2 linked regions of the Rattus norvegicus genome follow. The protein of the gene in region 2 purifies or fractionates together with the protein of the main gene of each other region. This does not show direct contact. Links are inferred from orthologs where the notes say so. Each region holds a gene or a part of one and is shown on either strand. Other genes may lie near its edges. The genes, in order: Mrto4 and Cebpa.

The links.
Region 1: the proteins of Cebpa (region 2) and Mrto4 purify together in Homo sapiens (affinity purification with mass spectrometry; 3 studies listed by BioGRID and IntAct, with this or other methods). This does not show direct contact. The link is inferred for Rattus norvegicus from reciprocal best matches to the Homo sapiens genes CEBPA and MRTO4.

The regions. Positions count from the first base shown.
Region 1 is NC_086023.1:156,882,137-156,897,240, forward strand, and holds Mrto4 (mRNA turnover protein 4 homolog), read right to left. Parts: upstream 9,603-15,104; 5' UTR 9,316-9,602; coding exon 9,288-9,315; intron 7,179-9,287; coding exon 7,120-7,178; intron 6,578-7,119; exon of another isoform or gene 6,451-6,577; coding exon 6,347-6,450; intron 5,753-6,346; coding exon 5,671-5,752; intron 5,412-5,670; coding exon 5,344-5,411; intron 5,102-5,343; coding exon 4,950-5,101; intron 4,634-4,949; coding exon 4,557-4,633; intron 4,445-4,556; coding exon 4,292-4,444; 3' UTR 2,849-4,291; downstream 1-2,848. Other genes in the region: Akr7a3 (aflatoxin B1 aldehyde reductase member 3), read left to right, coding at 1,048-1,177, 2,091-2,252; Emc1 (ER membrane protein complex subunit 1 precursor), read left to right, coding at 9,662-9,756, 11,051-11,175, 11,748-11,813, 12,047-12,140, 13,620-13,748. UniProt on the Homo sapiens protein: Component of the ribosome assembly machinery. Nuclear paralog of the ribosomal protein P0, it binds pre-60S subunits at an early stage of assembly in the nucleolus, and is replaced by P0 in cytoplasmic pre-60S subunits and mature 80S ribosomes.
Region 2 is NC_086019.1:96,889,495-96,904,552, forward strand, and holds Cebpa (CCAAT/enhancer-binding protein alpha), read left to right. Parts: upstream 1-7,089; 5' UTR 7,090-7,099; coding exon of another isoform or gene 7,100-7,210; coding exon 7,211-8,287; 3' UTR 8,288-9,762; downstream 9,763-15,058. UniProt on the Homo sapiens protein: Transcription factor that coordinates proliferation arrest and the differentiation of myeloid progenitors, adipocytes, hepatocytes, and cells of the lung and the placenta.

The sequences.
Region 1 (15,104 bases), on a different chromosome or scaffold from region 2:
GCCTGCAACTTGTAATCCTCCTGTTTCAGCCTCCTGAGAGGTTGGAGTAGATGTCTGTGTCCCCATGGCTGGACACTGTGAAACTCTTTCACTTGCTTCCCCTCTGTCACCTCGGTTGCCATGTCCCCAAGGTTCATTTCTGAGCACAGGCTGACACATTTGCTTTTTGTATTCTCTGTCTGGGAAGGAAAGGCACAATAAGCAAGTTCCTGCATGAGGCTCCAGTGCTGGTTTTGTTGAAAAGGTCAAAGGTGAAGGCAGCAAGCAGTTTGTCAGCCTTCCTCGTGTACCTTGTTTGACTCAAGCCCTGTCTGTTGGGAGTGTGTTGCTTACTGCTAGAACACTTGCTGAGGTGCTGAGCGTGCATGCATGAGGCCTTGCATTTAATGCCTCTCACCTCACAGCAAAACCACAACCGACAAAAACACCCCTCCCTGTAGCCTTCCCCACTATTGTCTGTGATCCTCCTCTCTGGGAGGAGAAACCATGGTTGAACTGTTGTTCTCAGTTCACACACTCTCAGAGCCCAGGACTCCCTTCTAGAGAATCAAGGCTGGACGGCCTTCATCATGGTCACCCCTTTAATCTATGCAGCAGCATTAGCTCTCCGCCTGATGAAGTCACCGAGACAGGCGGGCAGGGAGTGTCCTCTCCCTCAGTAAGTGGGTTAGTGAGTGAGTGTAGGGAATGGAGGAGGCTGAGCCAAGGCCACAGACGCTGGACTGGTGCCCAGGACTCACTCTGGGCTTTTGGGTGACCCAGGGCTCGCAAGTAGGGTGCTTGTAGGAACCTAAGAGGGCATCAGATCCTATTATAGATGGCTGCAAGGCACCATGTAGTTACTGGGAATTGAACTCAGGACCTCTAGAAGAACAGTCAGTGCCCTTAACCACTGAGCCATCTCTCCAGCCTGGAGACCTGTATGTTCTGATACTTTGGTCGTAGCGCTGTCTGAGGACATAGGCCACCTCAGGGATGCAGGGGTTGAGTCGCCCTCTAGATGCCCTCAAGATACTGACCCCAGTGTTGCCCTTCCCACCCATTCAGCTACTGGAAGGAGGAACACTTCAATGGCATCGCCTTGGTGGAGAAGGCTCTGAAGACTACCTATGGCCCCACTGCCCCCAGTATGATCTCAGCTGCCGTACGGTGGATGTACCATCACTCACAGCTCAAGGTAGTGTACCTGGGCCCAGTTTAGCCTGTGCTGTGAAGTCGAATGGGAGGAGGAGGAAGCTTAGAAGTGAGAGAGGCCAACTGCTGAGACTATGTCTTCCCTGGCCCAGTGTCAAGAGCTATGTGAAGACTAGTCATCTTGAGTTATTTTTTCTCTCAAAGATCTCGTTATATTTATTTTGTTTGAGTTTTTTGCCCGATGGTTTCCGTGTGTACACAGTGCCTGCAGAGGCCAGGAGAGGGTGGCAAGTCCCCTGGGATTGTAGTAAAAGGTGGTTGTAAGGAGTAGGCCCTGGAAGTGAACCCAGGTCCTCTCCAAGAGCAGGAACTGCTCCTAGTTGCTGAGCCGTTTTGCAGCCCTAATGATCTCAATTGGTGGAGAGGCTGGTTTAAGTTCCAAAGGTATACATGGTAGGAAATAAGCACAGATCTGACTCTGAAAAGTACATTTTAAAAAGTATTGGGGCTGGGGATTTAGCTCAGTGGTAGAGCGCTTACCTAGGAAGCGCAAGGCCCTGGGTTTGGTCCCCAGCTCCGAAAAAAAGAACCAAAAAAAAAAAAAAAGTATTTATTATGGCCCTTCCTGGAAAGAGAACTCAGGTCTGTGTCCCTGGGCTGGGACATGGGGTGGAATCTCTTCCTGCTGTCCCAGCTTCCTCTCCCTGACCCCTTTCTCCAGTGTGGACATTCTTGGGGTAATGGTGCTCTTTCAATATCTGGTAAATGCCAGGCCTGGAGAAAAATGATTCCCAAACTGTCCTGCAGGGTAGAGAAGACTAGATGACCTTGCTGTTTGGAGACAATAGTTTTCTCTTAGCAGCAACACGGCCTTAAGTAAAAACAGATCTTAGCAAGGAACAGGCAGGAAGCCATCAGGTGGCGGAAGTATGGTGAAAGTAGGTTCTTTCTTGCAGGGCACCCAAGGGGATGCAGTCATTCTGGGCATGTCCAGTCTGGAACAACTGGAGCAGAACTTGGCCTTGGTCGAGGAAGGGCCTCTGGAGCCAGCTGTTGTGGATGCCTTTGACCAAGCCTGGAACCTAGTTGCCCACGAGTGTCCCAACTATTTCCGCTAAGATACATCTGCCTTGGGGAGGCGCAGCTTACTGCCTGCCCCGCCTTGTCCTGGGCTCGATCTGATCTGGTTCTTTCCTTTTTAGACAGGTCACTGTCTTTCTCTTCCCTGCTTTCTATACAGCCAGTTGCTTTCAAAGTGAGAGCTGGCTGAGCCCCAATACCTCCTGCTGAATAAAACTGTTCCCTGTCACAGCCTGGGCTACAACTGACCTAGTGGCCTTATTCTCTTGAATGCCTGAGGCTTGCGTCAATGCTCCTTCCCAGGGTCCAGAGGAAGTGGGAAGGAGTGCCTGATCTTTAGAGGGCAGTGGTCCAGTGCTTTCCTTAAAACCTGCCAGGTTCAATCTGGCACCAGCTGCGTGCTTTCCTCCTGACCATGGAGTCCCACAGCAGTGGACAGCGGCTAGGTGCTCTCTGCCCCAACTAAAGTCTCACTTACCTGATTACACAGGTTGAAGGTTATAATTTCCACAACCATCCTGGGTGCAAAGCATAGGCAACAAGAAACTGAAAGTACCCCCCACCCCCAGCTCAACATAGCATAGCAGGAGGCAAGAATGGAGGTCAAAGTAAAGAACAGATCCGGAGGAGGGCATTGAGTACTAAGCAACATTTTAATTGATTTGGCAGCAAGTGCTTCGGTCTGCTGAAACATGTCACTTGTCTTTCTTACTTTCCCCTTTGAGACAATGTATCTGTGTGTAGCCCTGGCTGTCCTGAATTCTGCCTCCCAAGTGCTGGTATTAAAGGTGTGAGCCACCACCACCCTGGCCTTTTCTTTTTAAGACAAAATGCCATATACTCTAGGCTGGCCTTGAACTCCTATCAGGTCTCTTGTCTCTAGCTTTCAATTTCTGGTGCATACAACCAAGCCTGCCCTTTTTTTTTTCCTATAATGATTTATTTATTATATATAAGAACACTACAGCTGTCTTCAGACACACCAGAAAAGGGCATCAGATCCCATTACAGATGGTTGTGAGCCACCATGTGGTTGCTGGGAATTGAACTCAGGACCTCTGGAAGAGCAGTCGGTGCTCTTAACCACTGAGCCATCTCTCCAGCCCCAAGCCTGCCTTTTTTCAGCCTTATAGTTGATTGGTATCAAACTTTTTTTGAGATAGGCTTTATTTAGCCATGAGTGGCCTCCAATTCAGAGATTGGCCTCCCTCTGCCTGGCTTGGCCTCAAACTTTCAATCCTACCTCAGCCTCCTGAGGTGCTGGCATTCCAAGCATTATCATATTGGCTTGCCCTGGGTTTTTTGGGCATGATTATGAAGACCCAAGGCCCATCTTATTCAGTGTTGCTGTTTAACCCCCACATCCCTCCTCTAGGGTAGAGGTCAGGAACTCTGAGGATTTTCTGACCCACAGGTCCAACAACTTTCCTCAGTTTCTGTGTGCTGCCAGGGAGGGACCTGCTGGCCTTAAGCATGGTTTATGATGCCTTACCACTGACTCGCACAGCACACAGCTACTAATCACTACTAGTCAGCCAAGTGTGGTAGCACTTGAGGGGCAGAGGCCAGAAACTACTGTAAGATCAAGACCAGTCTGTGCTTCAGTGAGAACCTGACTCAAACTCCACTTGCTCCCAATCCCCTCCACCGCCCTGTGGCAAGCCTGTGTTCCTCATATTTTACCCCCGGCTTGCACGTATCTGTGTGCTTATTTATGTTTTAAGTGATCAAGCTTCCAGAGAATTAACTTTCCTCAGCAAACCCACTGCAAGCAAACGGACAAAGACACCCAAATCCAGGCGTGCTCTCAGCCATCTGCAGTGCTGGCCCACCCAGCCCTAGCCCGACTAGGCTGGAGCACAGCCGAAGGCCTTTATAAAGAGTCTCTGCTGTCTACAGGGAGCACCCTGCAGACAAAATTTTATTCTCTATAGAAACAAAGTCACTGCCCAGCACCTCCCTTGTCTTTATCCATAGCAAAAAAACCAGCCGCTCCCTCTAGGGGGCGACAGCAGTCCTGGGGGCGTCCAGTGGAGATGAAGTACTTGCTGGAAGGCCTTGGTTCTGGTTCCCAGAGTCAGCTGTCGTCCTCCTCCTCCTCAGACTCCCCCTCAGACTCAGGCGCGCTCTCGGGAAGGTCATCGTCCATCTGCTGGAATCTCCCTGACTGGGCATCCCACATGTATTTGATGGTCACTTTGAATTCGGCCATCTCATACCCAAACAGCTTCTGTAAGGGGTGGAGGAAGGGGAGTGAGCAGGAGCAGCTGTCAGCAGCAGAGGGCTGTGCCCAGCAGCTGAGTGGCAGCGGCCCCTCCCCCAGGTCGCAGGCCCAGACTCACCAGGACACGGGCCTGCTCTGGGGTCAGCACGTCACCCTCCTTGCACACTTCATAGTCAGACAGCAAGGTCACCACACCTGTGGGAGGGCAGCACCATGTCACCCCCAGCCTTAGGAAGCATGCAGCCCTCTTCCCTGAGGGACAGTGGCAGCCTCCTCCCTGCAGGAGGCGAGTGCTCAGCTCTGCCTTCACAGGACAAACTGTGTCTATCGGAGCTGGTCTAGGGGAGCGTCTGGGGCAGGGGTCCCCGAGCTGCAATTCATCTGTGCAGGTGCTGCTTTGCCTGCACGAGTGCCTATGGCATCACATGAATACCTGGTGCCTGTGGGGGCCTGACGTGGGTCCTGGGAAGCAGCCAGTGCTCTGAACCCTAAGCACCTCCCAGCTTCCTACCTTTCTTGAGGGCAGTGGGCAGACCCAGCTGCCTCAGCTGTGGCTCCATGGAATGAGGGAACTGTTTCAGCGGCCCTGGATCCAGGCTCACAGTTAAAGTTGCTTTGTTCCCCGCTCGAGCAAAATCCATTTCTGTATACTTTGTGAACCACCTAAGTTAGAGAAGGGTGAGGGTAAAGTTCCTGGAAACGCCACCATTCAGCTGAAGTCCAACCTCCTTTGAGTGGCATGGTCTGAGGCTTGCTGTCCGTAGCCATGTTGGCAGGCAGAGGGGAGGACCAGGACAGAGAGAATACCACAACCCCGGTTAGGTTACAGAGTAGTTTCAGTAAGAGCCTTGTATCTCTTCAGCTTTCCCTGACTCTCAGCCTCTTCCTCCCTCAGAGACACTCACTCATTCACCTCCTCCTTCGTGCGGTTGGTAAAAAGGAGCCCAACTTCACCTCTCAACTTCTTGCTGACCTGAAAAACACAAGTGAACACCACTGCTTCTTCACCAGGGGCAACTTACCTATAGAAATCACCTGGATCACCTAAAAACACTTCTCGTTGGCAGAACTCCTAGTAAGTAGGGCAGGCTATAGAAGGCATAGCCCCATGGGTCTGGAGATTAAGAACACAGAGTTGGGCCGAGTTTGGTTCTCCTGAACCCACAGGCCAGTCCCACAGCTGAAAAGAGCAGGAGAGGCAGTGGCTGCCGCAGGGAGGGCCAGTGACCTACCTGATGTAGGTTGTCTTTGTATTCATCAGACGGGCTTCGACCCAAGGCCACCATCATCACCTTGTTTTTGCCAAAGAACATCCTACCATGAAGAAGGAGGATGTGAGCCAACGCTGTGTGGCCAGAGGCCCTGTTCTCCATGTAACCCAGCCATGTGTTCCCAGGATTCCTGTTTTCATTTTTTTTTCCGGAGCTGGGGACCGAACCCAGGGCCTTGCGCTTCCTAGGTAAGCGCTCTACCACTGAGCTAAATCCCCAGCCCTGTTTTCATTTTCTTATCCACAGAATCAGATCTTGCCAACAGTTTGACAGCTCACTCCGAGCCTCAAAAGTCACTTATCTGTGTCTGCCTGTGGGCAGGAGTGTGTCCAACAATCCCTACTAGAGTGGTACAGCAAGACAGTGACCCCAGAGCCACCCGCACATGTACTGTAACCCATCAGCCCCTGGGGCCTGCTTTGGGGTCAGATGTACATGATGATACTCTACTCGAGTGTGCCAGACACCAGGGGCCACTTTCCTGAAACACAGAGTGACCAACAAATCCTGTCCCAGCAGCTCAGGGAAAGGCCAACTCTAACGGAAGCCGTGCCCCTTAGGGGAGCTGCAGACACCAAGGTCAGCCTGCTCCAGTGCTCTGATGAGAGCAGCTCTCGCCTCTTCCCACTGTGCTCACCGGCTGTGCTTCCAGGCATTCCGGATGTCCTTCAGCTTGCTGTTCCTCATGTTGGCCACAGAGAAGATGAAGAGGTACTTGTAGGTGTCCACGCATTTCCGAAGCTGTGGGACAATTCATGAGGCTCTGGAGCTGAGGCGCAGCACGGGCTGGGCAACTCTGGCCTCACACAAGAGAAGCGGTCATAGGCCTTTAAGCTTCCACTGGCGTGACTGACACCAGTGTTACTTACTATGGAAGGTGAGCAGGGACCCAAACCCTGTGGTCTTTCCATGACCAATGTGGAACAATCACCCTTTTTCCTTAGTCCATTTAGTTGATCTAGAAACTTCTACCCGCACTGGGAAAGCCCCTGCTAAATCAGAACATAAGGAGCCTCATCTTATCAACAGGAGAGACACTCCATCCTCATGGTCTTGGCCAGGCTTCTGGCTGAAGCCTCCCTGTGGTAAAGCTCCATTTCCAAAGAACAGGAATCTGTGCACTTGGAGACTGCTCTTACCTGGCCCAGACCCAGCAGCTCAGGGGCAGACAGAGGCTACAGTCACCCCTGGGTCACGTCCAGCCTTCTAACACTGGGTAGCTTTACAAACTCACTGACAAGCTTTAGTAACCCCGAGCTTTTGTAAAACATCAATAGCATCACCTAGTCCTGGGTCTCAGGGATACTGTGGGAGGTGTGGAAACTCTGACACTGCTAACAGTCCAATCCCAACTCTGCTACCCAAACACATAGGAGGGGGCGGGGTGGGGTGGGAGGAGCAAGCACTTACCTCTTCTATCAGGTTCTGCTTCAGTTCCAAGCCTTTCTTGGCAGTTTTTGTTAAGGAAACTAAAACCAAGAAAAAGAGACAGCAGCGAGTGATGTCTTGACGCTCTGGAGACTAATTCTGCTTCTCTCTTCCGGGCTTGGCTAAACTAAGCAAGTGTGACGGAGGCAGCAATGGACACTGTCATTCCTGGCATTCAAGGTTGACAGAGTTTGCTTACCTAGCATTCTTGGACCCAGAGATCCCTATATACATCCCTACCACAAAAGAAGTTCCTTGGGCCAACGGCTGGGTCTACTGCTTTATGGCAATAGGGCTCATTGCTGCTGATAGAGCACTGTGAGTGGGGGCCCTAACCTGGCTGAGGGATCAGACTCACCACCTTAGTTAAGGCCCTTTCCTGCCACAGGGATGGTGCACAGGCCATTGATGGCTAGGGTGGGCTATGGTATGATAGAGAACAATTCTTCCTTTTATAAAAAACCAGGATCTTGTTACAAGACTGTTTAGGCTGGCCTTGAACTCAAGATATAAATTCTTGCTTTTGCTTCCTAAGGGGTGGGATTACAGGCACGTACTATGTCATCCTGTTGGGACCTTATCTTTTCTATTCTATTCTAGACCTACACTTCAATTTCGTAATCTGGACCCAGGAATACAGTAACGCTGGGGATGGGGTAGATGGACCGCACAAGAACCTCTACTGAAAAGTAACCAAGGTCCTACAAGCCACAACAGTTAGAAACAAGGCTATCAGGAAGTTTTTGGATGGCATCTATGTGTCTGAGAAGGGAACCGAGCAGGTTGATGAGTGAGACCTCAGTTTACTAGCTCCAGAAACATGGTGCTTATCCCAAATACAATCTGGGCTTTTTGGAGACAATAAAGAACTTATATATTGAAAAAAAAGAAAAGTAATCCAGGTCCTATTTGTCCTACTTCCAAGAGTTACTGGCATTTGCTTACATCTAACTAGGGCTCCCCAAAATCCTAATGACTCTCTAAGGACTCACTAAAACATCAGCTGTAACACGCTCTGGATATTCCCAGGAGGTGATATGGCCTTTCATCAACCCTGCCTGCCACTCACCGTCTATACAAGGCACACAGTCAAAGGCAATCACAATGAGCCAGTCATTCCCCAGACTCTCCACACCTAGGATTCTGGTACAACTTAGCATACTCCAGGTGGTCACTGGCTTTGCTGTCCTCATAATTCTCCGGACTATCAAGGCAGCCAAAGGGATCCTTTCAAAGCAAAGCCACATCAAAGGCCAGATCTCTTCCTCTCAAACCTACTTTACTACAGCCACACTGGCCTCTTGTCCCACAATAAGTTAACCACACTACAGACCCCTTTCATTCTGTGTTTCCCTCTATTCAAAACGACCTACTCGTTTGTCATCTAGGTGCTGAGACTTTTCCTGACAGCATTATGCAAAACAGTATCACCTTCTCCATACACCACTTTGACTACCTGACACATTCTTACTTGACTGGGATATAGGTATAGGAGACAAACAAACACACACCCTACTAAGGTGGTTAGTCTGATGAAGCCAGACCCTTTTTGTTCAACCGTCTTGCCTTCTAACATCCACAAAAGCGCCAGCCCGCTAGCTGGATGTAGTGGCTCAGTCTGGAATGCTAGTGTTTGGGGCCAAGGCAGACCAGATAGAGAGTTCAAGGCCCCAGCATTAAGAACAAGCAAAAAAAAAAAAAATGCAGTAGTCGAAACTGTAAAACCTCTACATTCTGGAGAATTCTTGGTCTACACACCAAATCTGAGCTACATTGCAAGATCCTCAAACACACACCGAGGCGCGCACATGCCAGGGGATGTAGCTCAGGGCTCGGCGGGTAATGCTTGCCTAGTAAGAGTTTACTGCGTCCCATCCCTAACTCAACATAACTAGGCTTAGTGATGCATGCCTGTAATTCCAGCAATCCGGAGGTAGAAGCAGCAGGATCAGGAGTTTAAGACTATCCTCGTTGGCGAGCTCGACCCTGGGATATAAGACTGTTTCAGGAGCTGCTTGTCGGCCCGTACCAGTTTCCAGCTCTCTCGGTGACCTGCCGACGCCAACTCGCTAACCCAGCCGGTCGAGCTCCTCAGAGAGGCCTCGGCGTCTCACCCGTCGCCACCCACGACGCAGGTCCCCCGAACCTACCTTTCTTGTCTCGCTTGGATTTGGGCATCGCGCTAAAGGCACGTGCGGCGGAAGACCCGGCGGCCCGTCAGGACCCGGGTGCCGCAGAGGCTTGTGGGGCGGCGCTCGGGGCTGCCTCTCTCGTGTGCCTGACCCGAAGTGTGGTGGGCCCTCTCTTCCCTGCCTGCGTTCTGCCTAGGGCCTGGAAGGCCACTTCTCTGCCCAGGTTCCAGAGCCTTCCAGTCCCTTCGGCCCCCCTGATCGCCGCGGCTTCCGAATCCGGAACACTTCACCAAGGCCCTCGCGAACCGGTTCCTCTCTATGGCTCTCCGGAGGGAGGGGCTTGAGGCCTGGTGCATGCCGGGCTGGCGGCGGGCGGTGCTTGGGCTTCAATCATGGCGGCGGCTGTGGAGTCCTGGTTCTGCCTCTGTGCTGTGCTACTTGTCCCTGCGGCCGCAGTCTACGAAGACCAAGTGGGCAAGTTTGACTGGTGCGTACGGGTGACGCTTCTCCTGGAAGTTGGTGTTTGCTTTCTCAGCATCTGTCTCCCTCCTGCTAACCTGAAGGAGAATTGCCATGGAGCTGGACCGAGCATATAACTTACAGGGGATGGGGCAGGTGTGCTTTAAGGGAGAAGTGAATGAATGAATGTTGCACCCTGCGCAGAATGAAAACGAGAGCGTCCCTTCTTCAGATATGAGGAGTTTGCCGACGTCAACCCAAGAGCATTATGTTAAGCACGGAAGGAACTCTTTTAAGCCTCCTTGTTTATGACTGTGCAGATTGCACCGTAGTGGAGGGAGCCCTGCCATCTAGGCACCCTTTAAGGGCTTTGGTCAGAGGTCACTAGTTCCCTCCTTTCCTGTCACGTCCGATTTCGTGGCTGTCAGGTTTGTGATCTCCTGGGTTCGAGGTCACTGGCCCACAAGTGAACTTTCATCCTCCTAGAACTAGCTGGTGTCACTTAGACCAGGTTCTAAAGTGAGCCTTTTTCTCTGAGGGACTCTCCGGGCGCATTGTGGCCTCTCCCTCTCCAAATTTATCGGCCTGACATTCGTTCACTCACCCCCCTCCCTTCAGACCGTGCTTATTTCAGATTGAATAAGTATTTACCCACGTCGGTTGTATGGTCCTGGGGAAATTGACAGACAACTAACAATAGTTTTTGGGGTTTTTTTTGTTGTTTTATTTTGTTTTAAAAAGGTGTTCATTTTGGGTTCTGGTCCCAACAGTCATTAGTCTTTCTGGACTTCGGTGGCTCACAACCATCTGTAATGGGATTGGATGTCCTTTTCTGGTGTGTCTGAAGACATCGACAGTGTACTCACATACATAAAATAAATAAATCTTGAAAAAAAAAAAAACCCCAGAAGCTCCTTTAAAACAAACTAAACAACACAGTGGTGTAAATGAGAGATGCAGTCTAAATGCCAGGCTTGCTTGGTGTGCCTCACAGAGCAGTATTTTCTCATTGCAGCAGTGTGCTGGCACTTATGCCCCTGGAAGTCTATTTGTTACAGCTAAAAATTAATTAGGCCATGGACTCTTTGGGGGTGTTGCTTGAGGACGTAGGTGTTACATTTAGCTGTAAGACTGTTATTATCTGTCATGTACTTGGTTCCAATTCTCTCCTATCTTCTTTTGCTTCTGAGTACATTGCACGGAAGTCTTGTATGCTTGAAGCTTTTCATTAGCACACATTTCTTGCATGTGATGAGGGAGATGTGGTGGTGTGAACCAGCCACTGTCTTTGGGCCCTGATGTTCCCCTGGACTGGTCCTCAGGAGACAGCAGTACGTTGGGAAGCTCAAGTTTGCCTCCTTGGAGTTCTCCCCTGGATCCAAGAAGTTGGTTGTGGCCACAGAGAAGAATGTGATTGCAGCATTGAATTCTCGGACTGGAGAGATTTGTGAGTGAACTCTGGAGGCTGGAGGCTTCAGGGAGGGATGCTGACTGGGTGAATCCGAGTGACCCATGGCTTCTCTAGTCTTGTCATCTTTCAATATGTATGTCTGTGGTATTAGCCTTTGTAATTCATTCCCTCAACTGTGAAGGTCCTTAAGATAATACTGCAAAAGCTACATTCTCTCCTGTTTTGTAGTAAAGGCTTAAATGACTACTCTTGAGTTATCCCTGGGATTGTTAGTGAAAAGAGAACTTATAGACTGTTTTCTTATGAAATTGGGTGGATTTTGTTACTCTTATTGTTGCTCCTTCATGTATTTGATGGGGTAGTAGTGGGCTGGAGGGGCAGAGACCCCAGATGGAGGAAAGCATTGTCTCTTGAGCCCCTTCTTCTCCTCCTCCTCCTCCTCCTCCCCCCTTACTGTCCAGTGAGTGGGTCTAGGTTATAGCAGTTAGTGGTACTCCTTGTTTCCTAATTAAAGTTAGATAATGCTGTGCAGATGAAGGTCTCAGTCCCTTCCTGGTCTTGTTGGGTCACAGTCACTCATAGCAATGTCTGACTTTCTTATCTCTCAGTGTGGCGCCATGTTGACAAGGGTACAGCAGAAGGGGCTGTGGATGCCATGCTGGTCCATGGGCAAGGTAAGCGGAGCCCTCCTGGTCTCCATTGTGGCCTCAGCCCCATCTCCCATTTCTTGGTTCTTAGAATGGGTCTGATGGGGAAGGGAGGAGAGCTGCGTCTGACAGTGAAAGAAACAAAGGACCCGATTAACAATGTCTGTGTACATCCATGAGCTGGAGGCAGGGTCATGGCTCAGCCCTTGTGAGCCAACTGAGGAAGTTTCCAATATGGCAGTGGTCTTTCTGTCTTCCAGATGCAATCACTGTATCCAATGGAGGGCGCATCATGCGTTCTTGGGAGACTAACATCGGGGGCCTGAACTGGGAGATAACTCTGGACAGTGGCAGGTAGGGAAGAAGTGGTGCTTCATGGTGGCTGAGTGAAGGGACCTGGATAGGTAACAACTCTGGGCCATTGAGTTTTTTTTTAAAAAATTCCCTCAGGGATCACTGAAGAGACATAGATGCCCATCCTTTAAAGTTTTTTTTCTTATGTATATGGGTGTTTTGGCCACTTGTATATCCATGGTCCACATGAGTCCAGTATCTTTGGAGGCCAGAAGGGTGTTGAATTTAGGCACACTGGAAGATTGGCCATCCCCTCCCCGCATTGAGGCAGAGTCTATCTAGCTCTGGCTATCCTGGAAATACTTAGGTCAGCCTGGCTTTGAACTCAAAGAGATCCCTCTGCCTTTACTTCCCAAGTGTGTGCCACCACACCTGCCTCAGATGCCCACTCCTGATTTGCTTGCTGTAGCCCATGCGTGTTTATTCACTGAGCAAGTGAGATTGTGGAAAGAGAATCTATAAATGATCTCCTGTGAATTAAGATTTTGCTAATTGGTCACCTGTTAGGTGCACAGCTCTGTCCTAGACACAGTCAGTGTCTATTCTGTTCCTGAACACTGTTGAATCTTAACAGAACATACGGGCTTTGTATGCCGTGTTCCGGGTAGAAGGACACAATACAAGCTTTCCATGTTTCTGAATGTTTGTGCTGAGACAGATCTCATGTAGCCCAGGCTACCCTCAAAGTAGCTACATAGACTGACTTTGGACTTGAATTAGTTTTAGTTGTTATCATCATGTGTGTGTATCTTGGGGTGATGTGTTGTGGGAAGGACAGCGTGCATGCCATGTGAGGTAGAGGTTAGTGAACAACTCTGGAGCCAGTTTTCTCTTTCTACCTTTTTGTCGGTTCTGGGGATTGAACTTGGGTTGTCAGCCTTGCTCAGCCAGTGCCTTTCTTTACCTGCCAAGCCATCTTGACAGTCCTGGCCTTCACCTTCTGACACTCCTGCTTCTACCTTGCAAGGTCTGGGATGGCAGAACCGTACCAACATACTTGAAACACCATATTTTAGTTCTCTGTCAGAAAACAGCGTGGCCTGCTGCCTCACCTTTGCTGAGATTAATTGTGGGTTCGCTGGCCTCTGCTTAGGTATCTTATAGTAGCAGTTCAGTGGATTAACATTTGGTGGACCACAGGGGATGAGAACACTCTAAATCTGAGACAGCTCTGTCATCAGGCTCATGCCTAGTCGTGACCATGGTTCTAAGCTTTCAGTGATAGCCTTGCCTGATGGGGGCATGCTAGAGGGTTAGCTGGGAGAGGAAGATGTGATCTGAAGGAGATTTGGGGGATGGAGAGCAGTGCACCTAAGTGGTTGCAAGGCAGATTCTCAGGTTGGCAGAGCCAGGATTCGGCGAACCGGTACTGGGATCCAGGTATATTTGTTTTCTGACTTAGCAAATGTCAGCGAGCAGCACCAGAGGCAGCAGTGGGGCAGCCATTCCAGCTGCAATCCTCACCACACCTGTGCTCAGTTTCCAGGCACTCGGGCTGGTGGGCCTCCAGGAGACAGTGAGGTACGTTGCGGTTCTGAAGAAGACGACCCTCACTCTCCATCACCTCTCTAGTGGGCACCTGAAGTGGGTGGAGCATCTGCCAGAAAGGTAAGGCTCTCTCCTCCCAAGTGATGACCTCTAATGCTCTGTCTCCTTGAGGGTGCTTGGCCAAGTGCCCTTCCGTTGGCACTGCGTGGGAGTGGTATGCTTGTGCACATGGGTCCGAGTGGAAAGGCTTGGCTACACACTTGGAGTGTACTTGGAAGGGTGAAGAAGTTTCAAACTGGGGCACTAGAGCTGCCACATGAGGGGGCTGCTCCTGCGCAAGTGCACAGGGCTCTGGGCCTTTCTGCAGCTTTTTAACAGTAGTCTGATACTGTCTTCACGGTAAGGGTTCCCACTGCGGGGAGGGGCTGAGGGAGGCTCCAAGTGGTTTCCAGTGGTCTTGGGAGTTAGAAGCATGAAAACGAGGGTGGGTAGAGGTCAGGCAGGCGTTGGCTTCAGCCACTTGTAATCGTTTCCCAAAGATTTTCAGAAGTGAAATTGCTAAAGTTAGGCTGGAGGTAGGCTTGGCAGCAGAGCCTGCCTGGCATGCACAGGGCCCTGCACCCTGCATTTGGCTCTTTTTTTTTTCCTTTTAGGTTTTCTGAGACAGGGTTTCTCTGTGTGTCTCTGGCTATCACTAGAACTCACTCTGTAGACCAGGCTGGCCTCCCAACTTACAGAGATCTGCTTGCCTCTGTCTCCCAAGTGCTAGGATTAAAGAACCATAGTTGCTTGGCCTTTGTTTGGTTCTTAGCCTTACTAAAAATGGGTCAAATCCCTAGGTGAGCATGGTGGTGTGCATCACACACACATAGACAGACAGACATACATACAGACACACACACACAGACACGCACCCCCCTAACTCTAGAGGGAAGCCAAGATGTGAGGATAACAAGTTCAAGGCCATCTTGGGCTATAAAGTGAGAGCTTTGTTTGTTTGCTTTTTTAAAGATTTATTTATTTTATTTATATGCGTACACTGTCACTGTCTTCAGACACACCAGAAGAGGGCACCAGATCCCATTACAGATGGTTGTGAGCTACCATGTGGTTGCTGGGAATTGAACTCAGAACCTCTGGAAGAGAGACAGTGCTCTTAACCACTGAACCATCTCTCCAGCCCTGTTTGCTTGTTTTTCAAGAAAGAAAAACAAACTAAAAGCCAGAAAACAAAAAAACCCAAATACCCAAAAGTCAGTATTCTAGAGAACTAAGTAAAACATCCATGAGTCTGGCTTACCTGATGGGGTGGGCCTACTTCCACAGCCTTACTCAGCCATCTGGTGTGCGCCCCACATACAAGTAGGCATGTCACATCTGTCACTTAGGAAAAGCTGGCAGTCTGGTTTATATATGTGATAGCAATTTGAGCATGTTGATGAGAAATTCAAATTAAAGACAAAAGCAAGACTAGAG
Region 2 (15,058 bases):
CGCCCTTGGAATCAGCAGGAAGATAGGATAGGGTTGGGATAGTGAGGTCAGAGGAGCGAGGCCATGCTCAGCAGGCTGGCCTGGCCAATCTGCAGGCTGCAGCAACCCCTTCCTACCACATGAACCTGCAGGGAAGCAGACCTGTGCCCCCAGGGAGCTAAGACCCAGCCATGCCCAGGTTCTATGTCTGGCCCAGTGTCCTTACAGATCAGACACACAATAGAGCCAGGGTAGCTTCAGGGCCCAGCTCTAGGGACCTTCACTGGCAAAGACTCTTGTCCTGCCTGGATTTCCCCCAAGAACATAGGCTCTTTCTCCTCCTTCCAAGACACTTTTTTGTTCAGCCAAGCCTCTGGGGATCACATATGCTTGGGGGTGGGGGATGGGGTGGGCTCTCTTTCCAGTTAGCCATAGGCACTGCTTCGTGCAGTCTGGCATTTTGGGAAGTGCTTCAAGGGGTTCTGAATTGGGTCTGCTTTGGGGAACAGAGGTTAGCCCATGGGTGACAGTCCTCTCAGGCTGGGTTCTAGGAGGGAGTCTGGGTAGCTGCTTTCTTCCACATAGTTCATTCTGTGTTCATTTAACAAGTATTTGAGGTGCTCCTCTCAGCCAAGGCCTGTTCTAGTCGGGGGGTGGGGGGTACGCAGAACAGGACAGAAAAGGTCCCTGCCTTTTGTGGAGCTGGGACATGTAAAATGAGTAAACAAGACCATTCTCTGAGTGAGCTACGAGGAAAATAAAACGGTGTGGTGGCCCAAGAGCCATAGGGGGAGGGTATGGCTTACACCTTTCTGAGAAGGTGGCACTCAGGGTGACCAGAAGGAAGGAGCTGTGCCAACCTAGGAAGAACACTTCAGGGAACCAGAAGAACCAAGCGCAGCCCCCCAGAGGCCAGGCACGCTTGTGTGAGGGGAGGCAATGGGGAATTAGTGCTGCATTCATCCAGAACCTTCCTTCCTCATATACAAGGTGTTAAAGAGGGTTTATGTCGCCGAAGTGTGCTGTTTTGAAGATGCTGGGCCTCTCTTGTTGGAGAGAGGAGAAGACAAGCAGGCCAAGAGGAACAAAACTGTTAGTGGCTGCGTAGAGGCTCAGTAAGGGGGAGGGGTGGCCTGCAAGCATGTAATATGTGAAGGAGGGATTAACTGGGGGTGCATGTGCTACGTTGCAGGGATGAACGTAGGGTCTCTCACGTGCTCGGCATGGTGCTGCCACCGAGCTGTACCCGAGGCTCTGGTTTTACTTCTCACTTTGAGACAGGGTCGTACTAAGTCACCCAGTCTGACCTTGAACGTACATCCACTCTAAGCAGCTGGAATTCAAGGCCTGCACTACCTGGCTCTCACATATGGGTTTCCTGCCCACTGCTCTGCCTCCCAACTGGATCCGGGATATCCACATAGATGGGGTCATTGCTCCTCTGCTTGTGCTGACTAGCTGCTGGCCAGCCCAGGGCATGGTGACTGTGCCTGGCATATGTCTGGCCACACACACGCAGCCTCAAGCACAAGGGTTTCCACAGTAGCTGGCCCATCATGCTCTCTGGTGGGGATCCCCTTATGCTCCTCTTGGACTTGGGAGTTACTTGCCCCAAAGCTTAGAGCCAGTTATCTAGACTCCCATGGGCCTCTTTACCAGGCGGTAGCCTGTGTGTACATCCCCAGGACCAAGCAGACAAAACACAGGCAGCATTTCGACCCTGTGCTGCAAAGCAATGGCCTGACCTAGGACCTAAAGACCGGCATCGAGGGCTCTAAGACAGGGGAGAGAAGGGCTTCCCTGGCATATATCTATATATCTTTATATCTATATGTGTGTGCACATATATGTGGGTATATGTGTGTGTTAGTGTGTGTGTGTGTGTGTGTGTGTGTGTGTGTGTGTGTGTGTGTGAAGAGAAAAAGGGGAGGATGGAGGAAAAGAGAGTGAGAGGGGAAGAAGGAGAGGGAGACAAGGTCTCACTGTGTGGCCCTGACTGGTGTGAAATTCTCTTTGTAGACCAGGCTTGCTCAAACTCACAGAAATCCACCTGTCTCTGCCTATCAAATGGATTAAACATGTGTCCCATACATCCCCATCACTTTTTCTAAAGCTAAATTCTAAGTCAAAATCTGGTCTTCCAGAGTATTCTGAAATTTGTCTTCTGCTTGTTTTGCTGTACTGGGGATGGAAATACTGTACAAGACTCTACTGCAGAGCCATGCCCTCAACCTTTTATGAATGAAGTCAAGGCAGGAGCTCTACCACAGAGCCACACACCTAACACCTCACTGAGAGTTTCTAGGTAGGGGCTCTACCACTGAGCCATGCCCCCAGTCCCTCACTGGGATTCTAGGCAGGGGCTCTACCACTGAGCCACACCCCAGCACCTCACTGGGGGATTCTAGGCAGGGGCTCTACCACTGAGCCATACCCCAGCACCTCACTGGGGGATTCTAGGCAGGGGCTCTATCACTGAGCCACACCCCAGCACCTCACTGGGGGATTCTAGGCAGGGGCTCTACCACTGAGTCACACCCCAGCACCTCACTGGGGGATTCTGGTTGAGCACTACCACTTAAACTATATCCCCAGCTTTGAAGTAAATATTATTTAAGACAGGAAATCTAGAATATATTTTATCTGTTTCTTGATTTTGCACATTTTTGAAGGACGGTGTTTGGGTTTGGTTGATCTCTCTTTTGTCTGGTCTATCTTTCTTTCTCTCTCTCTCTTTCTTTCTTCTCTTTCTTTCTTTCTCTCTTTCTTTCATCTTTCTTCTTTCTTCCTAGCTGGCCTGAAACTCACTACGAAGCCTCAACTGCTCTTGAACTCTCAGTGAGATTACAGAACCTGTGATTCTCCTGCCTTAGCCTTCCAGTGTTTAGACTATGGCCATGCATTCATTTAATACCAAATTAATTATTTAGTGTTATTTATTAAATACAAAATTGCTGGCTCAGTGGTAATTTGGTGTTTAATAAAACATGAAGTGGGGAGTTGCAATTTGTATCATTGTTCTCGGCCCCTTAGGCATATGGAGAAGACACGCCCATGTTCAGGTTTTGCTTTAGTGGGTGCCTCTTTGCTGGATGGCGGTTCTGGGGTTCGCCAAGCAGTTTTTATACCAAAAATGCCATAAAGGACATCTCCCAATTTGCTAAATAAAACTAAGTGCAGTTTGGTTTGATTTTTTCTTCTAGAATCTCTGCTTTTGCTTATCTGCGAATAGCATCCAGCAAGTGGGAAACAATACAAACAACAAAGGAATCACACATGAGTCACACTCGGTGAATAGGAGAAAACTGGGGGAGCTGATTCTTAGGAACTCAGGATATATACATACATACATATACACACACACACATATATACATATATATCACATACTTTTGGTTATGATCATACTGGCATCCACAGCTACATTTCCCAACAGGCAAGTCACTTCTGGAGTGTGTTCGGTAGAGAACGATGCCACACAACGTTGCCTAAACCAGACTGAGAACCCCAGCGTGAGTACCACACCAGGCATCCTATAATTGCACTGAAGTGAGTTTCCGGCAAAAACGGAACCCCAACAGTGTACACGACTAGATAGTGCAAGAACAGTTCGAGACGGTCTTATTTACCAGTATTGACAACTGGCCCAGATCTGAGCTCAGCATATACGTTCCCTAATCCTTCCACCAGCCCTACAATGGATTACTGAGGAACTCAGAACTTGTCTAAGGTCATCTGGCTAGTAAATGATGAGGCAGGTATTTTAATGGGCCTTTGGCATCCCTCACTTGCTCAGGGCCTCCTGATAAGATGTGTAATCTACTGGGTGATCCAGGAGCTTCTCCAATAACTAATAAACTGAAAAGAAACACTCTACCCATCAGGCCAGTGAGTCCCCTATGCTCCTTGCTTCAGGGGCTTGGAGGAAGACATATATGTCACAAGATGTCATCTCCAGCCAGGAGTCTCGCATCTTGTTTAGATAGGTCCTAGGTTGCCTCTGTAGCCTCTCCTGGCAGAGGGAGTGGGTTGAAACAAGTCCTTTCAGTGTGGCCTAGACTGTCACTGAACCTGTAGTCTTCCTGTTGAGGCTCCAGGTATGTACCACCACACCCCTTTGTGGACCCCATGTTTCTCACCTAGCCAAAAGCTCCTCTCCTTTCTACCTGGAGTAGGCTCTCAGAAACCCGGACAGGGAAAAAAAAAAAAAAAAACCTCCCAGACCAGCCACAAGAGGATAAATGCTCTGAGAGATAAAGCCGGTTTGCTTACCTGGGATGGCCTTGGCCATCAACCCAACCCTGTCTGTGGATCCAGCCTTATCTAGGCCCCTCCCTAACTCTCCCCACACTCCAGCCTGTCAAACACCCTTGTCCTTTGTTACCAGAACAGGCCATGCTCCCGGCAGCCTCTCCACCTTTGCACCTGCTGTTCCCTCCTCCAAGGGGGTGGGGGTGGGGGGACGCTTTTCTTCCTTATCCTTCCAGAGAGTTCCTGCCTACTTCAGGAAATAGCTCAAAGTCTCACGCCTGCATGAAACCCTCTCCCATGGCCTGTTTCAGTCGGCCGCAGTGGGATTTCACTGAGTTGTGTAAAGGTACATATTTGACCCTCACTCAGGAGACTGGAAATCAGAGTCAGTGAATCCGGCAATCAGAGGCTGCCTTCTCCAGAGCCCAGGGTTCCTTGGGGCTGGGTGTGAATACAGCCTTAATGACGTTCCCACCTCTAATTCAAGAGACCATTTCATGGGCGATGGCTCCCCCCCTCCTTTGGTGTCCCCCTCTCTATGATGACAGTTTTCCTACCCTCTGACTGTATATGACATATCTGTCCCTCTACCTGTGTCACATACAGGGACACTTCTCATGCTCCCCTGGGTTTTTGGAGCAGTAAAAAGGACTCTGTCAGCTACTCCGGACCTGCAGGCTTTGGGGCAGGAGTCCCAGTCCCCGCCCCTCACCTCACACACTTATCCCACCCTTTTTCGTTTGGCGACTATATTGTGCTCTGGCTTCCCGCAACCCTAAGTCCCTGTGCTTGCATAAGCGAGGACAACTAAAGCCATCAGACTTCCACTAATGTCTCTCTTAGCTAGGAACTTTCTCACAGTGTTCCCTTTCCCCTCAGGGGAAAAACAAACAAACAAACAAACAAACAAGCATTATATTTAGCTCAGTAGAAAGACTGAAGATCCTTCTCGGCTTTTAAGGATTTCTCTCCAGGGGACACTCCAGGTGCATGGTGTATTAATGGGTCGCGTGCATCTGGCCCAGAGAGCGATCCCCCGCTCATACCAGGTTGTTTATTTAGTGTATCTGCTTTCTATTCGCTCTGTTCAAAAGCATCAAGCTAAAAATATCTTGTTTATGCGCTCTGGACCGAAAATGAAGCAGTCGGGCCATTAATCACTGAGAATATGTTGAATGAGAATTTGATTAAAGTACAGGATGCGTCCTCCAGACGAAGTCGGTTCTTTATACTGTAAACCACAGTGGAAGCACAGCAGACCTCCCCAACAGTTTTTAGCCGCTCCTCTTTGAGCCTCCTGGGCGGATCGTAGCGCCTTTCCTGACCTAAAATGGCCATTGCACTGGGGGGTCTTGACCTTGCGCACCCTAGTGTCGCAGGAAGACCCCCAGCAGCTTGGAACGAGGACAAATGGAGTTCGAGAGGACGTAAGGCCTCAATTCAAGAAGCCGCCAAAGGGTCTTCGGGGTGCAAAAACGAGAGACGTGGGTGCTCACCAGGCCCCTTCTGTCCCGGACCTCCGCGGCCGAGATCCAGGTGGAGAATGAACTGGACGCCACGTGGCTGGGGAGCCGATGCTCGCAAACTCCTACCCTCAGCCGCGAGCCTGTAGGCGGCGCGGTGCGGAGGATCCCAAGGACTGGACAGGGGGCTCCCAGTGGGTGCTCGAAAGGCTCGGTAGCCAAGAGCTGGACACCCGAGCTACCGAGATTAGTTCCCCTCTGAATGACAGTAGGGAAAGAAAACTGTGACTTCAGGCCCCTGACTATGGGCCCCGCCTGGGGATCACGATCCCCGATTCAAATTCACTTCTCTCACTCCAACACCCTGCCCTCTCCCCGCCCCTGCGCGGTCTCCTTAGTGTCTTGTTCCGCGAGTCCCGGAGGACCCACCCGCTGGTCCCGGCGTGTGTGTGTGTGTGTGTGTGTGTGTGTGTGTGTGTGTGTGTGTGTGTGTGTGTGTGTGGTGGGGGGGGGGTCCGGAACATTTGACTAGAAGCTCCACGCAGGGTAGCAGCGTCCGCCTCATAAGCCTAGCAATCCTATCGCGCTGGCCTGGAGACATAATTAAAAAGAAAGTTTTCCAGCCTAGGCGGGTGGACCAGCCAGGTCCACTAGGCTCCGGGTTTAGCGGCCGCCTCCGCTCCCCGCCGGGTCCTAGCGCCCTACTACTCTGAAGAACCCGTGGGACCCTGGAGTTCTAAAGAGGCTGGGCGAAAGAGAGGTGCTCTGCTTGGAAGTAGTGGGGTCGCCTGGAGTTCAGAGATAAAGACGCACAATCTCAGCACTCTGGGCCTCGCCTTTCGGCAGTGCGCGCTAGGTTGCTGGTCCAAAGCAGTCCCTAACGTCCTTGCGCCGCGGCTCTCCGCCACAGCTTTTTAAAAATCCGGGTGGGAGACAGGCCTAGTCCCAGCTTTTAAGACAAGTCTGCACCACGGTAGCTCAAGACTAACATCCTCTCTCCAAACGCCCCCCAACCTTCACCTCCCCTTGCTCGGCCTCTGGATGCTCCCCGGCTCCCTAGGGTTGGCTGGAAGTGGGTGACTTAGAGGCTTAAAGGAGGGGCGCCTAACCACGGACCACGTGTGTGCGGGGGCGACAGCGCCGCCGGGGTGGGGCTGAGCGCCGCAAGCCGGGTTCGCCTAGCAGCGCAGGAGTCAGTGGGCGTTGCGCCACGATCTCTCTCCACTAGCACTGTGCTCCCGCCCCACTCACCGCCTTGGAAAGTCACAAGAGAAGGCAGGCTCTAAGACCCAGCAGGCACCATCCGGCAGGCGCCCTCCGCCCAAGACCCGCTTGGACACCAGGGGGCGATGCCCGACCCTCTATAAAAGCGGTCCCCGCGCGGGCCTGGCCATTCGCGACCCAAAGCTGCGCGGGCGCGGGCGAGTTGGGGTACTGGGTGGGCGGCGGCGACAGCGGCGCCACGCGCAGGCTGGAGGCCGCCGAGGCTCGCCATGCCGGGAGAACTCTAACTCCCCCATGGAGTCGGCCGACTTCTACGAGGCGGAGCCGCGGCCCCCGATGAGCAGCCACCTCCAGAGCCCCCCGCACGCGCCCAGCAACGCCGCCTTTGGCTTTCCCCGGGGCGCGGGCCCCGCGCCGCCCCCAGCCCCACCTGCCGCCCCGGAGCCGCTGGGCGGCATCTGCGAGCACGAGACGTCTATAGACATCAGCGCCTACATCGACCCGGCCGCCTTCAACGACGAGTTCCTGGCCGACCTCTTCCAGCACAGCCGGCAGCAGGAGAAGGCCAAGGCGGCGGCGGGCCCCGCGGGTGGCGGCGGTGACTTTGACTACCCGGGCGCCCCGGCGGGCCCCGGCGGTGCGGTCATGTCCGCGGGGGCGCACGGACCCCCTCCCGGCTACGGCTGTGCGGCGGCCGGCTACCTGGACGGCAGGCTGGAGCCCCTGTACGAGCGCGTCGGGGCGCCCGCGCTGCGGCCGCTGGTGATCAAGCAGGAGCCCCGCGAGGAGGACGAGGCGAAGCAGCTGGCGCTGGCCGGCCTCTTCCCCTATCAGCCCCCGCCGCCGCCGCCGCCACCGCACCCGCACGCGTCTCCCGCGCACTTGGCCGCCCCTCACTTGCAGTTCCAGATCGCACACTGCGGCCAGACCACCATGCACCTGCAGCCTGGCCACCCTACGCCGCCGCCGACGCCCGTGCCCAGCCCTCATCCCGCGCCTGCAATGGGTGCTGCGGGCCTGCCGGGCCCCGGGGGCTCGCTCAAGGGCTTGGCTGGTCCGCACCCCGACCTCCGCACCGGCGGCGGCGGCGGCGGCGGGGCCGGCGCGGGCAAGGCCAAGAAGTCGGTGGATAAGAACAGCAACGAGTACCGGGTACGGCGGGAACGCAACAACATCGCGGTGCGCAAGAGCCGAGATAAAGCCAAACAGCGCAACGTGGAGACGCAGCAGAAGGTGTTGGAGTTGACCAGTGACAATGACCGCCTGCGCAAGCGGGTGGAACAGCTGAGCCGTGAACTGGACACGCTGCGGGGTATCTTCCGCCAGCTGCCTGAGAGCTCCTTGGTCAAGGCCATGGGCAACTGCGCGTGAGGCGCGCGGCTGCGGGACCGCCTTGAGCCGGCCCCCTGGCTGGGGACCCGGAGGATGGTTTAGGGTCGCTGGATCTCTAGGCTGCCCGGACCGTGCAAGCCAGGACTAGGAGATTCTGGTGTCGCCTGAAAGCCTGGCCTGCTCCGCGTGTCCCCTCCCTTCCTCTGAGCCGGACTCGGTGCGTCTAAGATGAGAGGGAGTCAGGCCGTGGTGGTTTCTCCTTTAGACCGAGAGACTTCTCCGCGGAGCTGAGCTGGGAGCCCGGCAGTTTTAGTATTAAGGAAGTAACCTTGTGCCTTGGATACTCAAAACTCGCTCCTTTTCCTACCGAGTAGGGGGAGCAAACATGTGCCTTGATATTTTATTTGGAGGATTCCTGCTTCCTCCAGAGCTGCAGCAGGCCCCCATGAGAAAAATGAAGGGTGCAGGCCCAGGGCAGGAGGAAGATTCAGGAAGCTGAGGTCCCAGCAGTCCCTGAGCTGCCCCTCCGTCCCTGTCCTTAGAGGGGAGGGACTTAGGGAGTTGGGGATTTGAGTCTTAAAAGTGTCCCCACCCCTAGTTACATGGAGATGGAGGGTTCTTAGCCCCTTGCTTTTCGCTCCTCCATCTACATTCCTCCCCCCACCCCCAGCTTACAACAGGCCAGGTTTCCTTGGTGAGTTCGTGGAGAAGGGGGCAACACCCCCAGTCAGACCAGAAGGCTGAGTTGTGAACTGGCCATGTGGTTAAGCAAGTGGTAGAAGACAGGGACCTTAGTTTCTGGTCTTGGGGTGGAGGATGAAGACACTGGGACCATCCGCCTTGTGTGTACTGTATGTCGCCAGCCGCTGTTGCTGAAGGAACTTGAAGCATAATCGATCCATCCCAGAGGGACTGGAGTTATGACAAGCTTCCCAAATATTTTGCTTTATCATCTGATATCAACACTTGTATCTGGTCTCTGTGTCCCAGCGGTGCCTTGTGCAATGTCAGTGTGCGCGTCTATGCTAAACCACCATTTTATTTGGTCTTTTGTTTTGTTTTGGTTTTGCTCTGATTCTTGCCAAAATGAGACTCTTCACGAACGGCCAGGGGAAGGGGCTGAGTGAGGCTCTCATTCTTTTTGGTTTAGGGATGTTTGGTTTTTTTGTTTTGTTTTGTTTTGTTTTGTTTTCTTTCGCCTCCCAGAGGACCAATGAAATGAAGTGGGCTTCTCCCTCTCCCCTAGTTTTCCAAGGGTGTATGTAGTTGTGGGTCTTAGCTTCCTTCCTCCGGCTGAGACTTATACTGGCTTCCCCACCCACCCACCCCCATCCCCAAAGGCCCTGGCTCTGGGTCTGGAAAGAAGGCCACCTCCAGCCAATTTGTACACAACCCTGCCACTGGAAGCAGGGGTGGACTGCTTCCTTCTCTTCTTTTTTTGGGGGGAGGGGACACAAAGTTTCATGCTAGATGTCCTATGTATTATATCTATAATATAAACATATCAAACTCAATTTTGGTGTCTTTTTAAAACCAGAGAGAAGCCACTTGTAAGGTTTGCTCTGGGCTGGGTTCCACTTGAAAACAGCATTTTCTGTGTCTGAGGTCCTCCGTTTGCATATGTGGAGTCTCTCTTTACCTGGGTGATGTGCCACGGCAGTCAAGGGATAAGGACTCTAGGCTGAGAACACCGGGAGCCTAAAGACCAAGTCCTCTGGAACTCGGGGGTGGAGGGGTAGTGTTGTCTTAGGGTTGTGGTCTCTCTCTCTCTGCATCCTAGAACAAGAGGGAGCTGGAAGAACACCTCTGCTTGACAGGAGCCCTCTTAGAACCTCTCAGCTGCGGGGACCCTTTGGCTTCATTCCCAAATCACTCAGCTGCAGCCCTAGAGAGCAAGAACCACACCACCTTTGCCCAGCCTTCCAGTGGAGCCCTGCAAAACAGGACTCTTCACCCCTTACTGCCCACTTCCCAGGCTCCAGTGCCACCCAGGGCAGCAGCTTGGGTGCTGAGCCCCCTTTGCACCTGCCTTACCTTAGCCTACCTAGATTCATCTGCCCCACTTTCTCCATCCTGGCAAATGGGATTGGCTTCTAATGATTCCATGTCCACTGCTACAACTGCCCCATGAGATGCAGACATGGAGTTGGCTGTGGTAACAAGCCGGTAAGGAAAGGGTGGCCGTCCTCGCCATCCTTGTGGAGCCCAGAGGCCACTGGGCTCTTCACCTGGACTGTGATAGCTGAGCAGCTTACAGTATATATACTGGTGAGAAATGACAAGTTCTTTTAAATTCCGCAAACTTTAGTGTGACCAGCCTTTGTGGTTAAGTTGTCCCACCAACCCCTTACCCCTCCTCCCTCTCTGCCCTGTGCCTTGCCACCTCCTCACCCATAGCTGCCCTTGGCAGAGGAAAGGCCAAAGCCCAGTGAGGAGGCGGTGGCCTGCCCCGTCAGCCTGGGAACTAGGGAGGCAGAGCCCCACCGCCTGCCTAGAGGCTGGGGCAGGCCGTGGCTTGCAGGCCCCAGCAAACCCTCTGAGTTCAGTGTGGATTCCAGTTTTTCTTGTTTACAGGGAATGATCCTTGAATTCCCCCTTTGCTCTGAGAACAGGTCCTTGGCTGATCGGGGGAGGGGGCCCTCCTGCTCTCCTTTTCCTAGCACCTGACATGGGGGTGATCTTCTCTCCAGGGGCTCATGGAAGGGGCACCCTTCCTGCACACCCAACCCAAGTTTCCTCATAGGCCGAATTGGGAACAAGAAGGGCCCAATCAGGGACGCCTCCGGTGTGGTCTGTGTTGGGGGTGTGGGTGCAGTTTAGGGTGGCCCTGTCCAGTTTGTGCTCTATCTCTAGTTGGGAGTGGCCTTCCAGGGAATTCATGCTTCGTGAGTAACTGAACGTACTCCTCAATATTCATTGAATGCCTTCTTATCCAGGGCCTGTGCCCAGGATTAAGGCACCACTGAGAACAGACTAAGGTCTTGCATTTGAGGAGCTGACAACCCTTTGGTCCCCAAGCCATGTCATCGTGTCAGGGTAACAAATGCACTAAGGGGCTTTTCCTGATGTGGAAACAGCAGCCTAAGAAAGCCCGGTGTCTAGTGAGGCCAGCACACCCCCCCCCCCCCCATGGACTCCGTCCTCAAATGCCTGCAAACTTCCGCCAGGCATGAGCCCTTCCCAGGACACGGCCTGGCTGGGGAGACCACTTCTTTCTTTGGAATACTCCTGAGCCCTGTGTCCCCTGGCAGCCTCAGGAGAGAAACAAGGGCGGGAGTGAGAGAGGGAGGTGACTCTTTTGCCACCAGATAGCTTAATGCTGTCAAGGATGTCACCCTTATCTCTTGGATCTCCTGGTAATCTGTGAACATGGGGTTTGGCCCTGACACCTGCCATGAGCCACTGGGAAGGGTGAGGAGTGTCCACCCCTCCCAGGCTTCCCGCCCCCTCCTTCCCAGCCCAGGTGGAACCTGCCTGGCCTCCACAAGCTGCAGATTTCACAAGAGGGGAGGGGGCCCCTCATCTTGAAGGTCAGGGGGAATAGAAACTCTGATCTTCCTTAACCAAGGGGCAACTTCTTCCAGGGCGCCCACCAGCTTTCTGCAGGCATGAAGTATTGTTCTTGCCTGGATGGCACTAATGCTTTAGTTGCTGCTTTGCTGTGCTGGTAGATAAAGGAAGCCCTTTTCTCTCTCTTTTTTTTTTCTCCCATCGCATGCCCTTTTCTTCCTCCCCCTTCCCCTCCCCCTCCTTCCCCTAACCCGCAGTCTCTTCCTTGCTTCTATAATGCCACCTTTTCTTTCTCAACCCCACCCCTCCCCACTCTTATCTCCCCCACCCCCACCCCCACCCCCCACCTCGCTCCCCGTGGATGGAACCCTTAACGAAAGCTGTAACCTAGGGAAGAAACCAATTCACTATCAAAGCATCCTAGCCCCATCCCAGAACAATTAAACAGCCAGATGGAATCTCTGGGAAAACGCATTAATAACGCGAACAATCTGTGTAGACCAGGCAGGAGCCCAGGAGCCTGGAGCAGGGGTGGGGTTTGGGGGTGGTAGTGGGCAGAGGAAGGCGGGGGACGCTGGGATGTATGCTTCCAACCCCATTTTGCCCATGTGGTGCCCAGAGAGGCACAGGACCATCCCAAGGGTATGCTAAGTCTGCCAGCAGCTGCGCCGTCCCCTCTGGCCCTCGCAAGGCCCACTGTACGCCCTGGATCCTGGTGGCTGCAAACAGAGCCAGACAAATGTGGAACCCATTACTCAGCCAGCCACAGCCACCGCCAGCCCCTTTCTGGCACCCGAACCCTTCTCTTCTCTTCACTTTTGTCTTTATTTATTATTTTTCTAGCTTTCTGGCCCCACCCATTAAGAGCAGGCCTCCCCGGGTGTACGGAGGCCTTCTTCTCTTCCTTTGCTGTGCCCACATCCACTCCCCGTGTGGACACGGAAGAGCTGAAACTGGAGCTCCCCACGGAAATGAAAAGTCCAGGGTCCACATTGTTCAGCTGCCTTGGGAAAGGGGCTGGGCGTGAACCACAGGACCCGCTTCTGTCGTTTCCGAGTCTGGTCTAGGTAGAGCTATGAAGTTCAACTCTTCCTTAGCAGTTCCTCTTTTGGTGACTACTGTTGGCAGCGACCCACGAAGTACACCGAGAAAGAAAAAAGCTCCCCCTCTCCCCGCACCCCTCTCCTCTCTGTGCTGGGAATTAAACGTAGAGCCGCTTGCAAACTACGCAAGTGCTGTGCTACTGAGCTACAACCCGGCCTCAGTCATCATCCATCCTGTAAGTCTGAACCAGGGTCTCCTTAGGTAGTAGCTCAAGCTGGGCTGGAACTTGTAATCTCCCTGCCTCTTAGCCTTTTCTGTGCCCAGGATGGCCAAGCAAGCTGCACCTTACCTGGAAAAGGTGGTGTTTTCTTTTAGCTATCAGGTTGGGTAGAAATTTACTTTTTAACAAGTGCTTGCCTGGCATGAGGACCTGAGTTTGGTTGGTCAGAACCAACATTTTCAAAAGAAAAAAAAAAAAAAAAAAAAAAGGAAAGAAAGGCAGAAAGGGGGAGGGGACAGGCTGTGGAAGCAGAGAGAGGTGGATTGGCTAGCTCACCTCGACTGTTTTTTTTTTAATTTTTTAAATTTATTTTATGTATATGAGTATATTGTCTGTCTTCAGACACACCAGAAGAAGGCATCGGATCCCATTACAGATGGTTGTGAGCCACCATGTGGCTGCTGGGAATTGAACTCAGGACCTCTGGAAGAGCAGTCAGGGCTCTTAGCCACGGAGCCACCTCTCCAGCCCCCTCACTTAGACTGTTTTGAGAGTTCCAAGCCAGTAGAAGACATGCACTCCCCCCCCTCGCTTCTTCCTCCTCCCACCTCTTTCTGCACCTGAGGAGCAATGCCAGAGGTTACATACTGCCCTCTCCCTCCATGCATCCTGCACACATGCACCTGAGTACACACGCACACATAGTCATACAGAGAGAGAGTGCAAAAGAGAGGCAGGGAGAGGAGAGGCAACACAGCATTGTTTGATTCCTACAGACGAAGAGAGCTCTTTTCTGACCTTTGTCTTCACTGTCTCTTGGTCTCCATCCTCCACCCTTACCCTCCCTCAAGGTCACCACTAGTTCTTAGAACTCCTCTGGGTCCTTGCTTGGCGTCTTGCTGACCTTGTCTCCAGCAGACATCCAGTATCTAGCTCAGGGCAGGTCATTGCCTGTGTGTCTGAATGCTAGTATCTCCTTCAGCTTATCTCTCTCCTTTTTGGAACACCCTTGCTCTCTTCTTTCCAGTCAACAGTCTACAGGGTCGGGTAAAGGTCCACTGAGTATGGGCAGAGGGAGCCATTGTCAGGAGCAGCCCAAAGGACAGATCATAGACGTCCACCTTGTCGCCTCCAGTAGATGAGTTCTTGCTTCTAGAAAATGACTTTTACAGAACAAGACTCTAGTGAGGCAATGTGCCCAGCCCTCGATAGTACTGGATAGCAATGTGGTATCAGTTTATCATCAGACTCAGAGAGTGGCCAGGCCTCCGTGGAGGGTCATGTTTTACAGGGCCACTGGGTAGGGAAGACCTGGTATGCTAAAGAAGAGAGCGGGGAGGAAGGACAAGCTATCTGAAGTCTGCTGTGAACTGCTGACACTGAGGAGGTGAAGGCCCACTATTCGCCCTGGAACACTGGACACAACAGTTGAGAGTTAAATGTATTTCAGACCTCCATGCCTTCCCTCTTCTCTCCTCTCTAGGATGCCTGGAAAGGTCTTCATAAAGGAGTAGTAGCCTGAAAGCCCGGATGCTAGCCATCAAATGTTAACAGTCCAGTTTCAAGACGCATCAGCGAGTGACCCAGACAGGGTCTGAAGAGAACCACCACAGCCTGTCCCAAGCCTTCCTTGACCTGAAGCTATTTCTACTCCCTGGCAAGGGGCATCCCCACACATTTCACTCGAAATAAAGCCTCTCCTTCCTAAGGAACCCCTGTCCCCATTCAAAGTCATAGAGAGAGCCTCACACTGCTCTGTTTCCCGTGAAGCCCACCAAGAGCCCTCTCCCAGAGCTGACCCCTACTTCCACCGCCCTGCCACAAGTACTGGGTCCCTCTTGCCGATAAGGAAATGTGACCAACTTCTAGTGGCTTTCCTGTGCCCGTGTTGGGCAATAGAGTCTCAGCTGGACATAGTTGCTAAGCTCAGACAACAGGTGGAAGGGGGGTGTCAGGGACTGGGTACCAGCTCTTCGGGGAGCTGCCATGACCTTCACTGTCAGGTTAGGACCCGTCAGAAGTGGCCTCCTTGAGTG